2 linked regions of the Arabidopsis thaliana genome follow. The protein of the gene in region 1 interacts with the protein of each later gene in a pairwise test. Each region holds a gene or a part of one and is shown on either strand. Other genes may lie near its edges.

Region 1 (7,338 bases):
AAATCACATGCAGTTGTACGTATTTTCATGTACTTACTCTGTTTCGGTTGCATCTACAAAGTCCGATTTTAACAAATTCGTTTAGTTTCGATTCAGTATTGGTCCCGTGAATTATTTGGAGTTTTGTATAAATTGATTAATAATATATGTGATGAAAGAGTTGGTGCCTTTGACGTACGGCATAGACTTAGAGTATAGAGACGTGGTGGTCTTGTGTAACTCAAGTGTTGTCATGTCGGAGTCACTGTGGGACTGCTCTACTCGAATCTAATTTGGGCCTTTCTGAAACCCTAAAACCGATTTTGTTCCAATCTCAGTTTGGACCCCTCTTCTCTCACCTTAGATGGGCTTTTGGATCCTCGATTCTTCTCCTCTGTTTTCCTTTTTGTTTTTATGTTTCTTAACCCATCAAAGAGTTTAATAATTGAAAAGAAAAAGAGTTTGATCGGTTTTATCTAAAAAATCTATATAGCAGCCATTTTGTGAAATAAATCCTATAGTTGGGAATTATTTACAATAACTGCCACTAGATTTTAATGTTTGTTTTTGATAATTAGAAAAAAAAATCTTTGAATAATTAAATATTTGACATTTAACAATCTTCCCTAAATCTCTCAACATTAACTACACGATTAGTTACTAAAATAAAACTTGCAAAATATTTAATATCATTTAATTATTACAAAATTATTATTTTTGATATTGCTTTTCTCCATGACTATAATAATTCGATTATAATCATCAAACCGCAGAGATATTTGATAGCATTTAATTACTACAAAATTACAAAATATTTAGACAATAATTCATAAACATATCATAAATAAGATCAATATTAATAAAATAAATAGTTTTTTACGGGACGGGTTGGCGGGACGGGTTTGGCAAGACGTTACTTAATAACAATTGTAAACTATAAAATAATTTTTTTTATAGATAGATACAATTTGTAAACTTTTATGTATACTAACTTTTAGAAAATATCTAGTAAGGTTTAAAAGTGAACCAAACCACAATAAAGTGTTTCTTATAGAGTGATTATCCCAAGACTTGTAAGTCTTAATTCTCGGTTTAACCCTCAAATATACTTTAAAAGGTTAGAAAATGTTGCATTTACTAGATTTTTAAAGTTATCAAAAAGTTTTTGGAGAAACAAAAAACATATTGTGGATTCCAGATAAACTAGACAGTAGTCGCATATATAGATGTATAGATGTAAGTTAATTTAACAAATGATTTCTTAATATCTATTGGTTTTAGATTTTCAATTAGTATTGAATTTTTATTTTAGAGATGGTTCACTACTACGATAGATCAATTAAAACGTTAAAATGAATATAAGTTCTGACAATGGACAAAATGAAACACTGGTTTAAAGAATGAGTAAGATATCTTTGTTAATAGCAAAGCAATAATTTAGTAAGGTTTTCTAACTTTCCGGTAAAACCCCGAAGTAAGTGAAAAGGTTCCCACATTTGTCTGTGTAGGTAAACAAGAACACTTGACCAAGAAAGACAATAAGAACACATGAAAACAAACACATATTTGACATATAATATGATAACTTCTATTTGCTTGTTTGTGAAATGTAGATAAAACAAAGTAAACACAAAGAAAAAATAGTGATATTCAAAAAGGAAATAGGATGGTCAAAATTGTGTGGTGAGATAAGAAAGGGCACTCACATGTTCACACGATGGAACACTAACGTGTGAGGTTAATGATTGCTTTTGCCACACTACCCATAAACTTCAGAAGGAATTTTTAAAAAAATTAGAAGTTTTTCTATAGTTTCTTTTGAGTTGAATACAAATATAACTTTAACAATAATATATAGTGCAAAAGCTAAAAATATTTCTATAAGATATACTTTTTGGTCGAGAGGTTGAGTATAGAGGGGACACCAGCTGCCCCAAAACCATCACGCTCCATGGACAAACTTTCTCCACCTTTTTTTTTCCTTCTTCTTCTTCTCTTAGTTTTCTTCAATATTATTTTATTAAATTCGCCATAAAATTATAGTTTATAGAAAACAATTATTAAAAAAGAGAGAAAGGGAAAAGGGAGAGTGATGAGAAGAGTCGGTCCTTTTTGTCTCATAGAGCCAATGGCCCATCAATTTTATTTCCTTTTGTCAGTCTCCTTTTCTCACGCTTCCTCTTCCTTTAATCCCACATTCACCTTCTTCTTCATATATATTCCAATTTACTAATGGTCTAATTGGCTATATTATTGAGTCATTTGGTTCATATATCCCCAGCCTCCCATAGAGGCAAGTTGGTGAGCCATTTTCTATAAACAAAACGGATACCTATTGAAGAAACCAGAATAGAGATACATAGCAAACATAGTATCTCTACAATATTTCAAAACACTTTCATTATAAATATAACAGATATGTACAAACCTCACTAGATACGGATACACATCATTATACATTCTAACATATTCTTCTTATTCACACGAAACTTTAGAGCCAAAATTCGATTAGTAAAATAAACTAAAAGAAAGTAAATTAAAGTAAGTTTTCAGTATTTTTGGTTAATCCTCTCAAGTCTCATCACACTTTCATTGTACATGTAGCCGTACATAATATGAAATTTGGCGTCCTAAATATACAACGTATATAAAGTGTTACTTTTTCGAATATACGTTTAAGCATTTTTGTGTCATGCATAAATGCACGTCTTTTCCATATGATCAACAAAAACAGTAGACTAGACATTTCGCTAACACTTAATTAATCTCAACTAAAAGTAAAACAGTTCGTCATAATCACATGGATATATACGAATATATAAGAAAGAAAGAAAACCAGGCACTGCTTATATTCTTTGGTCTGAAAAATGTGGTCAAATGTACACATTTAGAAAGACATGAACAAAGAAAGAGATAGGAGAGTTTGGATTCATTTGGGGACAAAGGTGACATAAGGGTCGCTTTGAAACTCACAGCATACAAACATAGACCTTCTCTTCACTATATATACATATATATTCACATGTATAGTGTGTATATGTAAATCGAAGTACCCTAGTTTCTTTTGGACTTCACCAATCACATCTGTTACTTAGATTCTTCTACGTCGACAAATATTCCCACAATCTCAAAACCCTAGTCATCACACCAACAACCAAAAAGATATATATAAATAGAGGAAAATAACATGACAAATATTCTTTATATATAATATAGATCTTTTTCTTTTTCTTGAAAAAGAAAAAAAAAAGAAAAGAAAAAGAACACACCAAACCTACTTACAACATTTGCTTACACTCCCAAGACTTAGTAACTAAAACCATATAACATATATATTATTAAAGAGGAATAAAAAAGGTTTTGGTAATTATAACCAAGTTAATTATGATCATACCCTATATATATTAATCAATTATAGACTTTTTAGTGTGCTCAATTCTCATCATTTCACACCATTATGATGTGATCCAGCGCACGACGCCGCTTTGACCGTTCTCCTCCTCCACCACCAGAACTACGTTCCATCAACGACTTGCTTGACCGCTCAAGCAGCGACTTGAGAGCATTTTGCAAAAAATGCACAGACTCGACGCCGTGCATCTCTTTGTCAGCAGCTACGACAAGAACACTTCTTGTCCGACCACCAATGGTTACCATCTCAGCTCGGAGAGTCTTCATGTTAAGAGACTTGAGAATCTCCATAAGGTCCGGCAAGAGATCTGATCTATCTTCACAACATAGAGAGGCTTTGAAGATTATATGACCGTCGTTTGAATAGTCTCCAAAGTGTAGAACACTAATTTCGTCGGTCTCTGATGGTAATAATGTTTGGTCGGAGTCGGAGGTCTCTAGGGTTTGCTGTTTAAGTTCTCTGACTCGTTGAACTACTTTGGCGAGCAGTGTGGCTTTATCGGTCTGAAAATAGAAACATGAAATTACAATGAAAAGTTTGGATCAAGAAGTTGAAATTTGATGTTTGTATCAAATCAAATCAACTGAAAAAGCTTGAGAACTTTCCCAAAAAGTGATATACTATCCCAACGAGCTTCACAAAAAGGCCATGAAGCTTTTCGTTTTTCTCATCTGATCACTACTCGCCAGTTTTGAATATTCAAATCAAAATATATATCAATCTTTAGAATTATAAATGTAGAAAATTAGGGATCATCTTTGATAAATATGTGCTTGTTAATAAGTAAGAATAGTAAGACAAAAAAGACTCAATTGAAACCAAATGATTATAAAATGTTATCATGAAAAAGTACAGTATTCATGAGCTAACACCAAATCGAATGAAACATGAGAAAATTTTAAAGATGTAAACTCTGGGTTAGAGAAGATGCAAAACCCTAATTATATACCCATTTCAAAAATCTTTTCTTAAAATTTCAAAGAAATATATACGTACAGATGTATAAACATCATATGTACGAGGAGAGATACATACGCCAAATGAAAAAGTATCAAAAGTTTATATTACCTTAGAATTACAAGAGAGTACGTTACGAAGCTTGTTGAGATGAGAATTGATCCTCTCTCTCCTTCTTCTCTCAGCTTCTTTGTGGTTCCTCAAAGCAGCTAAAGCTCTGTCTTGAGCCATCGTTTCTCCGATGCCGGAGATCGCCAGTGGGTAATACGATGACGTCGACGACGAAGACCCACATAAGCTCTGCATAGTCGTCATGTAGTCGCCGGAGACGCAGTACCCTCCACCGCCGACTTCGTTTCCGGCAAGAAACGAGTACAACATCTGATCTGAGGTCTCTGGTTGCATTATCTTTTGTTTGCGCCGCCTTCTTTTGGTTTTTTGTTAATTAATGGGGTTTGTGGAGCTTTCGGTGGGTTCTGTCCTAAAAGATGGATTATATATACGTGAAATGAGAGGGTAGAGAGTGTAGATTATTTTTTTTATTTTTTTTATTTTAGATGTTAAATACTTGATTTTTGTATTTATATATATATTGGTGGGGAAAAAGTTGCTATAGAGTTTGAAATTTTTAGGAAGGGTCCTTAATTAGGTCATTGTCTTGCCACCATCATCATTCTAAATAGTTCTATATGATCCATCAATTGAACTGAAGATACATACGGACTTTTGGGACTATATAGTATATTACTGCATTTCCAAAATTCAAAAATTCAAAAACAAATCTCAAAAAATTGAACATTCTTTAAATCTTTACTTATGAATAATAATGATGTTTTACCACTACCATAATAATGATCCTTTAAGTTATTATGATAAGATACCATTTCTAAGGTATTAAAGATAAACAATAAAAGGCATATCCTGATATGATTTATGCTGCTTCTATCATTGTGTTTTGTCCGGATAAATCTCACACAGTGCAATGCGATAACATAAATTTGTTATTTAACAAAAATTAAATAATATACAGTATTTGTTTTAACTTAATGTCTGGAAAAACTTGAGTATTCAAAAGCCCTAATTTTTTTTTTTTGACAACATAAAAGCCCTAAATAATCAACAAATTTGATAATCATAAGAGAAAGCTACTGCAGAAAAATAATTTACGAATGAGACAACCATATGATATGAGGAAGGCTTCGCCATAAAATATGGGCCTAAATTATATAAAAAATAAGGACCCAAATAGTGGCCCAATTACAAAGTTTTGGTAAAACGGTGACCACAAAACTGGCGCAAGCCAGAACCATGCAGTAGAGACAGAGCTCGACCTTTGACTTTGATAATGGCAGTTTCTTCGAAACATTTCCAGGTTCCTTCATCTTTCACGCTTCCTCCATCTTCTTTCTTCAGCTCCTTAATCCCTTCTTCTCCAATCTCTGTTACTGCTTCAACGATTCGAGCCTCCACAAAATTTAGCTCCATACGCGTCCGTTTCAGTCGAAGATCAATCGTCAGATACAACGACCACGCCGGAGAAGACGAAGAGGATAGTGACGAGGATAAGGAAGAATATTGGAGCTTTGAGGAAGCAGTGACTCTCTTCAACAAGAGGGATTATTACAAAAGTCATGACGCGCTTGAAGCTCTTTGGATTCAAGCAGAGGAACCAACTCGTACCTTAATCCATGGAATTCTTCAATGTGCTGTTGGATTTCACCATCTATTCAACAACGTAAATCTACTCTCCTTTTAACTCCATCTATTGCTCGTTTTCGTTCACGTTTGAGGTAATTTTAGTGAGTGTTTTGGGATTTGAAGAACCATAAAGGAGCGATGATGGAGTTAGGAGAAGGAGTATGTAAGCTAAGGAAGATGAATTTCGAAGACGGACCGTTTCATGAATTCGAGCGAGATGTCTCCGCAGTTCTTGAATTCGTTTATCAAACTCAGCTTGAACTTGCTGCCTGTAAGTTTTGAATTTTGAATTTTTGATTGAGGAAACCATTTAGCAAATTGAACCTAATTGTGACACTCAAGAAATCTGAATTGATTGATGATAGGTTCAGAAGATATGTGTTTGACGATGGATCAATCAGACAGATCGTATCAACTCTTAGGTGGTTATGCAGCTGGAGAGAGTATTTACAGCTTAGAGACTGTGCTTGACTTCAACAATGGAATGTCTGAGACAACTTCTATACTCTTCTCTCCTTTACATTCATCGTCTGAGCCAACTCGGGTTAAGCTCCCTACCCTTACCGCAACCGATAAGCATCTTCTTGCTTCTACATACGACGACAGATTCTAAAGAGAATGATCAATACGAAGATAATAGAAGAAGATCTCATTACTGTTATATTTCAAGAATCAGGTTCTGAACCTGTCAATAACATGAACAATGAGTCATTTAGACAAAAGGTAAAAACACATAACATTCCTGTCTTTTTAACCAGCAAAAACCAGCCATGAATGAAATTTTAGAACAAAGCGAAGGAACATTCTTTATGAAATTACATAAGAAGGTAGTCAAAAAAAAAAAAGGAGAAAGCCGAAGAAGTTGTTTCAATCCTCACTTAGCCATCATAACCTTCACAAACTCTTCGTAGTTGATCTGACCATCACCATCAACATCAGCTTCCTTAATCATCTCATCAACTTCTTCATCAGTAAGCTTCTCGCCGAGGTTAGTCATCACATGTCTCAATTCAGCAGCTGAGATGAAACCGTTCTGGTCTTTGTCGAAAACTCTGAAAGCTTCCTTGAGTTCTTCCTCAGAGTCAGTGTCCTTCATTTTCCTAGCCATTAGGTTCAAGAACTCCGGGAAATCAATGGTTCCGTTACCATCCGCATCAACTTCGTTGATCATGTCCTGAAGCTCAGCTTCGGTTGGGTTTTGACCGAGGGAACGCATCACGGTACCAAGCTCCTTTGTGGTAATGCAACCTACACAAAGTAATCAAAGATTGGTGTTACTACGATGCAAATCC
Region 2 (7,899 bases), on another chromosome or scaffold:
GCCGGCTTAACTAATGGAACTTACTAGTGATACCATAATGCGAAAGGTGCTAATTAAGCTTGACAGTGAAGAGGATTCTTATCAAGTTTTGGAAAATTTTAATGGAGATTCCTTGGTTGGGAAGAAGTATGAACCTTTGTTTGATTACTTTTAGCGATTTCTCAAGTGTGACTTTTCGACTAGTAGCAGATGATTATGTCATGAATGATAGTGGTACTGGTATTGTCCATTGTGCTCCTGTCTTTGGTGCAGATGACTATCGTGTTTGTCTTGAGAACGAGATAATTAAGAAGGTTAGATTTGACAACATCTTCCTTATATCACCACCTTTAACATTAAGTTTATTTTCTTTCTTGTTTAAGTTTACAGTATCTTCAAGAACCCATGTTCATGACACATTTTGTTCATGTGTTGTTTAGATTGTCAGAGATTTCAAACGTCCAGATGGTTTGAAAGATACAGAGATTGATGCAGCTGTAGATAGTACATATCTTAATTAAAAATACCACTTCTCTATGCTCTATTGTTGAGGAAACATATAATATTTGCATTCGTTCATGGTTCAGATATGATGTTATGGTAATTCTTGATCTACGAGAAGATGAATCTTTGAAAAACGAAGGTGTTGCCCGTGAGGTAAATAAATGTAACCGAAGCGATTAATGGTCATATATAAGTTGTATATTTGATATATGGGTTTCCTTCTCATTGTGCTCATGCATTGAAAAGCACCCTGTTATGACTGTGGTTCTAGGAGAACATTTGCATTTGACAGTCGGTGACTAATTGTTAAGCAAGAAGAACGCATGAGAGCCTTTTAAAGTGTTTTCTTCTAGATCGTTGCAAAAAGTTAAATGTCTCTTGAGACTTTGTACTCATTCTATAGATAAAGATGGGATTTATTACAAAAACAACAAGAAACTTTGTTACTTGTGGAAATTCAAAATTATCCGAACTAGCTTCACAAAATATGCTCAAGAGTTTCAATGTATTTTTTTTTGTTCTGTAATTGTATGACTCCGTTTGAAGCATCAAGATTATGGTTATAGGTAGTGATGCTAAAACTCTCTGTTGTTACAGTGACCACTAAAAACACCAACAAAAAAAACTTAGGTAACGTGTCGTCTAAAAACTTCTAGGTTCAATTTCTTTAGATAGTACTATCAATAAATAAAATAAATATGTACAAAGGCTTTAAACAATGATGTTTTTCAAAGATGATTGGTAGATACTAATTAGAGCTTCAATATAAAAGAACACATGCGATTCTGACATTCTGTGGTCTAACATGGTTTCTTCTAGAGTCAAAACCATACAATTAAAAGTTAGGAAAGTAATAGCAATGTGGTTTCAAATATATACTCATTACTCTTTAGATTCATGTATGGTGAAGGAAACATTATAATAAAATCAAAGATCACAGTTTTGTAGGTCCCTCATATTAATCAACATCTTAAGGCGTTATACATATCTTCTTTTTGTAAATATTTGACTAATTAAAATATCTAATTAGAGTATTAGACTAATCTCATCAAATATCCGACTACTTGTGTCAGTTCAAAACACAGTGATTACGTTAGATTTTGTGCTCTTTTGTTTATAAACAAAGCTAATTTAAGAAATATATGATCTATTTGCCTCCTTGGTCTTAATTTTATACTTTCTTGGAATAAAACACATTTATTAAAATAATTTTTAGGTTCCTAGATTCATGTCATGTGGCTTGATAGTTTCCAACAATTATACCAATATTTTACTCATTCATATACAAATAAACAAGCTTTATTCTATTCTTCAGTCTCATGATATACGGGATTTTGATAAAATTCAGAGTACCCATTAATTATTCTATGTTACAGCTTGTAATAAGTTAAATTTATAAAACGTACAAGTTGAGGAAATAACAAATGTTTTCAATATTAAATGATTTATTAATACATTAGTGACCAAAAAATTATTAAGTGTAAGAAAAAAAACACAACTCAGAAAAAATTCAAAAGACCGTCTAAGTTCGGTTCATGTAAGAACAAGTGGGACCTCTTTAAGTTTCTAAATCAGAGAATAAAGAAGAAGAAAAAATCTCAAAACCTTCCTCTAAAACCAACGGCTCCTACCTTTACTTACACCCTATACATACACTTCTCTTTTTATCCTCCATCGGCGGCTTATGGCGGTTTTCCGGCACTAATCATCTCCGGCATATATAAATAAACGTACTTCACGTTTTTTTATATAACTTCAAAGTAGTTTCAGATTTGTCTCTATCTCTTCACTTTTAAGTCTTCTGGTTTTGTCATCACCAGCTTTTTTTGTTCTGTCTCTGTCTTTCTCTTTGTGTATTTTTATTCTCGTCATCGTTGTTCTTCTATGAGAGGAAGATCGGAATGTCGAAGAGAATTAGAAGATTCTCGTACATCACTTCGTTGGAATTTCACAGGTCGATGAGAGATCTGAGAACTGTTTCATTTTGATCCAAACTCATCTCTTTCAGGTATTCCAAATTTTTCTTTCTCTGTTCTTTCTACTATTACCCAAATTAAAGTTTTGATTTTTATTTCTCACTCTGTTTCTTGTTTTTCTAATTGCAGAGTATAATGGACTAAGCATTTTTTTTCTCCGAAGATGGTTAAAGAAATAGCTTCTTGGTTATTGATACTATCAATGGTGGTGTTTGTTTCTCCGGTTTTAGCTATAAACGGCGGTGGTTATCCACGATGTAACTGCGAAGACGAAGGAAACAGTTTCTGGAGTACAGAGAACATTCTAGAAACTCAAAGAGTAAGCGATTTCTTAATCGCAGTAGCTTATTTCTCAATCCCTATTGAGTTACTTTACTTCGTGAGTTGTTCCAATGTTCCATTCAAATGGGTTCTCTTTGAGTTTATCGCCTTCATTGTTCTTTGTGGTATGACTCATCTTCTTCATGGTTGGACTTACTCTGCTCATCCATTTAGATTAATGATGGCGTTTACTGTTTTCAAGATGTTGACTGCTTTAGTCTCTTGTGCTACTGCGATTACGCTTATTACTTTGATTCCTCTGCTTTTGAAAGTTAAAGTTAGAGAGTTTATGCTTAAGAAGAAAGCTCATGAGCTTGGTCGTGAAGTTGGTTTGATTTTGATTAAGAAAGAGACTGGCTTTCATGTTCGTATGCTTACTCAAGAGATTCGTAAGTCTTTGGATCGTCATACGATTCTTTATACTACTTTGGTTGAGCTTTCGAAGACTTTAGGGTTGCAGAATTGTGCGGTTTGGATGCCGAATGACGGTGGAACGGAGATGGATTTGACTCATGAGTTGAGAGGGAGAGGTGGTTATGGTGGTTGTTCTGTTTCTATGGAGGATTTGGATGTTGTTAGGATTAGGGAGAGTGATGAAGTGAATGTGTTGAGTGTTGACTCGTCCATTGCTCGAGCTAGTGGTGGTGGTGGGGATGTTAGTGAGATTGGTGCCGTGGCTGCTATTAGAATGCCGATGCTTCGTGTTTCGGATTTTAATGGAGAGCTAAGTTATGCGATACTTGTTTGTGTTTTACCGGGCGGGACGCCTCGGGATTGGACTTATCAGGAGATTGAGATTGTTAAAGTTGTGGCGGATCAAGTAACCGTTGCGTTAGATCATGCAGCGGTTCTTGAAGAGTCTCAGCTTATGAGGGAGAAGCTGGCGGAACAGAACAGGGCGTTGCAGATGGCGAAGAGAGACGCGTTGAGAGCGAGCCAAGCGAGGAATGCGTTTCAGAAAACGATGAGCGAAGGGATGAGGCGTCCTATGCATTCGATACTCGGTCTTTTGTCGATGATTCAGGACGAGAAGTTGAGTGACGAGCAGAAAATGATTGTTGATACGATGGTTAAAACAGGGAATGTTATGTCGAATTTGGTGGGGGACTCTATGGATGTGCCTGACGGTAGATTTGGTACGGAGATGAAACCATTTAGTCTGCATCGTACGATCCATGAAGCAGCTTGTATGGCGAGATGTTTGTGTCTATGCAATGGAATTAGGTTCTTGGTTGACGCGGAGAAGTCTCTACCTGATAATGTAGTAGGTGATGAAAGAAGGGTCTTTCAAGTGATACTTCATATAGTTGGTAGTTTAGTAAAGCCTAGAAAACGTCAAGAAGGATCTTCATTGATGTTTAAGGTTTTGAAAGAAAGAGGAAGCTTGGATAGGAGTGATCATAGATGGGCTGCTTGGAGATCACCGGCTTCTTCAGCAGATGGAGATGTGTATATAAGATTTGAAATGAATGTAGAGAATGATGATTCAAGTTCTCAATCATTTGCTTCTGTTTCCTCCAGAGATCAAGAAGTTGGTGATGTTAGATTCTCCGGCGGCTATGGGTTAGGACAAGATCTAAGCTTTGGTGTTTGTAAGAAAGTGGTGCAGGTGAGTTTCCTTACATATCTCTTTCTAAAGTTCCTGTCATTAGTCTGAGTTTCTGTTTAGGAGTTCTTTGATAATGTGTGCAGTTGATTCATGGGAATATCTCGGTGGTCCCTGGCTCGGATGGTTCACCGGAGACCATGTCGTTGCTCCTTCGGTTTCGACGTAGACCCTCCATATCTGTCCATGGATCCAGCGAGTCGCCAGCTCCTGACCACCACGCTCACCCACATTCGAATTCTCTGTTACGTGGCTTACAAGTTTTATTGGTAGACACCAACGATTCGAACCGGGCAGTTACACGTAAACTCTTAGAGAAACTCGGGTGCGATGTAACCGCGGTTTCCTCTGGATTCGATTGCCTTACCGCCATTGCTCCCGGCTCGTCCTCGCCTTCTACTTCGTTTCAAGTGGTGGTGCTTGATCTTCAAATGGCAGAGATGGACGGTTATGAAGTGGCCATGAGGATCAGGAGTCGATCTTGGCCGTTGATTGTGGCGACGACAGTGAGCTTGGATGAAGAAATGTGGGACAAGTGTGCACAGATTGGAATCAATGGAGTTGTGAGAAAGCCAGTGGTGTTAAGAGCTATGGAGAGTGAGCTCCGAAGAGTATTGTTGCAAGCTGACCAACTTCTCTAAGTTGTTATCTCAACTTCTCTTCTACATTCAAAATTTTTACACCATAGATTTATGTCAAATATATCAAAATGAAATTTCGAAATTGTTATTATATATACCACCCATATCTCTATGATTTGTACATCCTGTTTTTTTTTGTTCTTTTTCTCATTTTGAACCCCACGAAATTGCATTGAATCTTAGTATTTCGTAGGGTCAAGAAGGAGTCAGTTTCGTAGTTTTTTGTTTTCTTTATGTTACGAACTTACGAAACTGAATATGGCATTATAGAGTTTTGAAGATAAATTTTCTTCGTTACTACTCTACATCAAGTTAATTCTCTAGTAGGTATTAGAGCTCTCTTAAATTATCCTGGAACATGAAAAGTTGTAGATAATGTCGTCTGCCACTTTTGTAATAAACTTTTCAAACAAAAGAATCATTGAAAAAAATGTGTGACTTTATTAGTTGTTACCAGTAAAAATCAAAATATAGTAATTATTTGTTAGATTCATGCCCCCTGGACTAGAGAAGATTACATTAAACAAAACTGCACATTCCTCGAGCCTATTAAACTAAAAGAACTGCATAAAATAAAGTAGAAATGGATTGGATTTGCAGAAAGTGAATCTAGGGAAGAGATGGGTTTACGTAACTTGCAATTATATATTCAAACCCACTTGTGCTTATACATTTGTTTCTTCGAACCCGACAATCTTTGACAGATTAGTCTTAATTATTAGTTAAAGTACTAATTATTTGATAACTACAGTGAAAACAATCATGTCCAAATAGATAACCACTCTTCACTTTACACTTTCAAGAATCCAAATATTTCCCCCGGCTGCCTACAGTTATTGCGAGTAAAACAGTTTAGAGAAATAAAGAAGAAGAAAAAAGATTGATTTGTTACATTACATCATAAGTAAAATTATGTAAATAACTGATGTGCTAGTCTAAATCGCGTCTAAAATTTTCTTTTGTGTATAAATTAAGAATCTTAGGAAATTTGTGGTACTAGGAAGTTATTATTGTTAGTTATTTTTCATAAGTAACTAATTTCGAAAAACAATTATTCAGAAAATATATAGGCTTATTTAAGTTGATCAAAAATAATTGCTATTATGAAGCCGAAATGATAATGGCTTGAGCCACAAGATCAAGACCAAAGGGGTCGTTCCTAGTCAATATAGCTGACAAAATGATTTGCAAAGTCTTGAAATACCTTATCACCATCAACTCATAAATAGAAGATGTTCGATGTATTATTCATTCCAAAGTCGAACAATATACAAAAGGGACCGATGCATGTGTTAATCTTAATCATACCTCCTTTTTGTTTATACCCAAGAAAAAAAAAAGTATAATATGTGAACACATAACATAGAAGTTTTGCTTTCCCTCTATTTTTGGCTAAAACAGAAAGAAATTCATATCTCTTTTTTAGGTCTAGAAGAAAGAAAAAAAAAAACAAGAACACAAACGTAGATAGAGAATTCTACTCATATTATCCAAAATATAGTCAATTCGATCCAAACTTCTTGTTTGCTTGTGATCACGTCATTCACAAAAGATAAATTAGCTTTGTCTTAACATTATATGTTAGTCAAAGGAATTGAAGTATATCAACTACTGTTGTCTTCTAGTTTACTAGGAGGCCCTTGTTCAATTTTCCTAATTTTCTAAGTTAATTTCCACTAGAGAAATAGGAATATGAATACGAGTTATAAAGTTAATAAAACCAAAACTTTCTTGAATTAATAGTTCAGCAATTTGATGTATTTATATATTCAGCAAAACACATAGGAAGATCTAGCTAGAAATTCTGGAGCTTAGTCTAGATACAAAGACTATGCAGAGACCTTTACCAACGACTGATTTGATATAAAGAGAACTTTGGGCCAAAGGTTGATCTAGTTCTTAGTCAATATAAGGTTAGGCCCAAACCCCAAAAGCCTTGACCCAATATATTAACTTTCTTTTTCATTCTTACACACAACAATCAATAGCAACAATAAATGAAATTCTCATCGTTGACACACAAAAAAAGAAAATCTCAACCACAAAAATGTCAAGCTTGGTTCAAAAAACATCAATGCACTTTTTGCCCTACTCAATCTCTCTCTGATTAAATGCATTCATCACCTAACATCTCTCTCTCTTGTTGGGTTGGCTTTAATATATGTCTTTCAAAAAAGCTCATATTCTTCAATACACACACTTAACTTTGCCTAACTATGAGTTACCATCTCTAACATTGTCTAACTAAGATTGGAGTTATCATTGTTAAAGCTCATATTCTTCAATACACACTTAAAAAAACTCATATTCTTCAATACACACTTAACATTGTCTAACTAAGATTTGGAGTTATCTACAACAGAACTTCAATTTTCACAATCATTTTTTATGTATGCAAACAAAACTAGATATTTAGTATTCACAATGTGTTGAATCATAAACAAATGTATCTATAGAACAACACTAAGAAGAAGAAAGAAAGAAAAAAAAACCAATTGTTAGTCCAAGTAAGCTGCACGGCATTGGCTCTGCCACTCAAAACAATCTTCATAATCAAAGCTACTCGCGCAATCCAACAACGCGTTTTGTTGTTGTTCGTAATGGCAAATGTAGTTTAACCCGACAAGAAGCTTACAAATCGCAGCTTCTGTCTTCTCTCTATCAGCAAAGTAAAGAGTCTGAAGTAGAAGAACGTTAGTTCGCTTCACAATCTGATTCTGCTGCTCGAAGTTGCGTTCGCTCTGCCACCGGATCATGTTGTGAGCTAAAGGAGCAAGCCAAGAAAGTATACCGTCTATGGTTTCTTTCCAGTCGTGAGCTAGAGGAGCGTCGTAGATCGAAATGTTCTTCAAGTATGATCTTAGACTAGCCT

What was found.
Region 2: the proteins of AT2G41120 (region 1) and ETR2 interact in a two-hybrid assay, tested with the Arabidopsis thaliana proteins (one study listed by BioGRID).

What each region holds. Positions count from the first base shown.
Region 1 is NC_003071.7:17,140,775-17,148,112, reverse strand, and holds AT2G41120 (DUF309 domain protein), read left to right. Parts: upstream 1-5,627; 5' UTR 5,628-5,693; coding exon 5,694-6,083; intron 6,084-6,169; coding exon 6,170-6,317; intron 6,318-6,411; coding exon 6,412-6,659; 3' UTR 6,660-6,838; downstream 6,839-7,338. Other genes in the region: AT2G41130 (basic helix-loop-helix (bHLH) DNA-binding superfamily protein), read right to left, coding at 3,427-3,894, 4,460-4,753; CAM2 (calmodulin 2), read right to left, coding at 6,921-7,294.
Region 2 is NC_003074.8:8,252,534-8,260,432, forward strand, and holds ETR2 (Signal transduction histidine kinase, hybrid-type, ethylene sensor), read left to right. Parts: upstream 1-2,025; 5' UTR 2,026-2,491; intron 2,492-2,588; 5' UTR 2,589-2,622; coding exon 2,623-4,389; coding exon of another isoform or gene 4,390-4,437; exon of another isoform or gene 4,438-4,472; coding exon 4,473-5,027; 3' UTR 5,028-5,355; downstream 5,356-7,899. Other genes in the region: AT3G23145 (ATP binding / aminoacyl-tRNA ligase/ nucleotide binding protein), read left to right, coding at 108-293, 420-483, 599-663; AT3G23160 (plant/protein (DUF668)), read right to left, coding at 7,526-7,899. UniProt on the Arabidopsis thaliana protein: Ethylene receptor related to bacterial two-component regulators. Acts as a redundant negative regulator of ethylene signaling.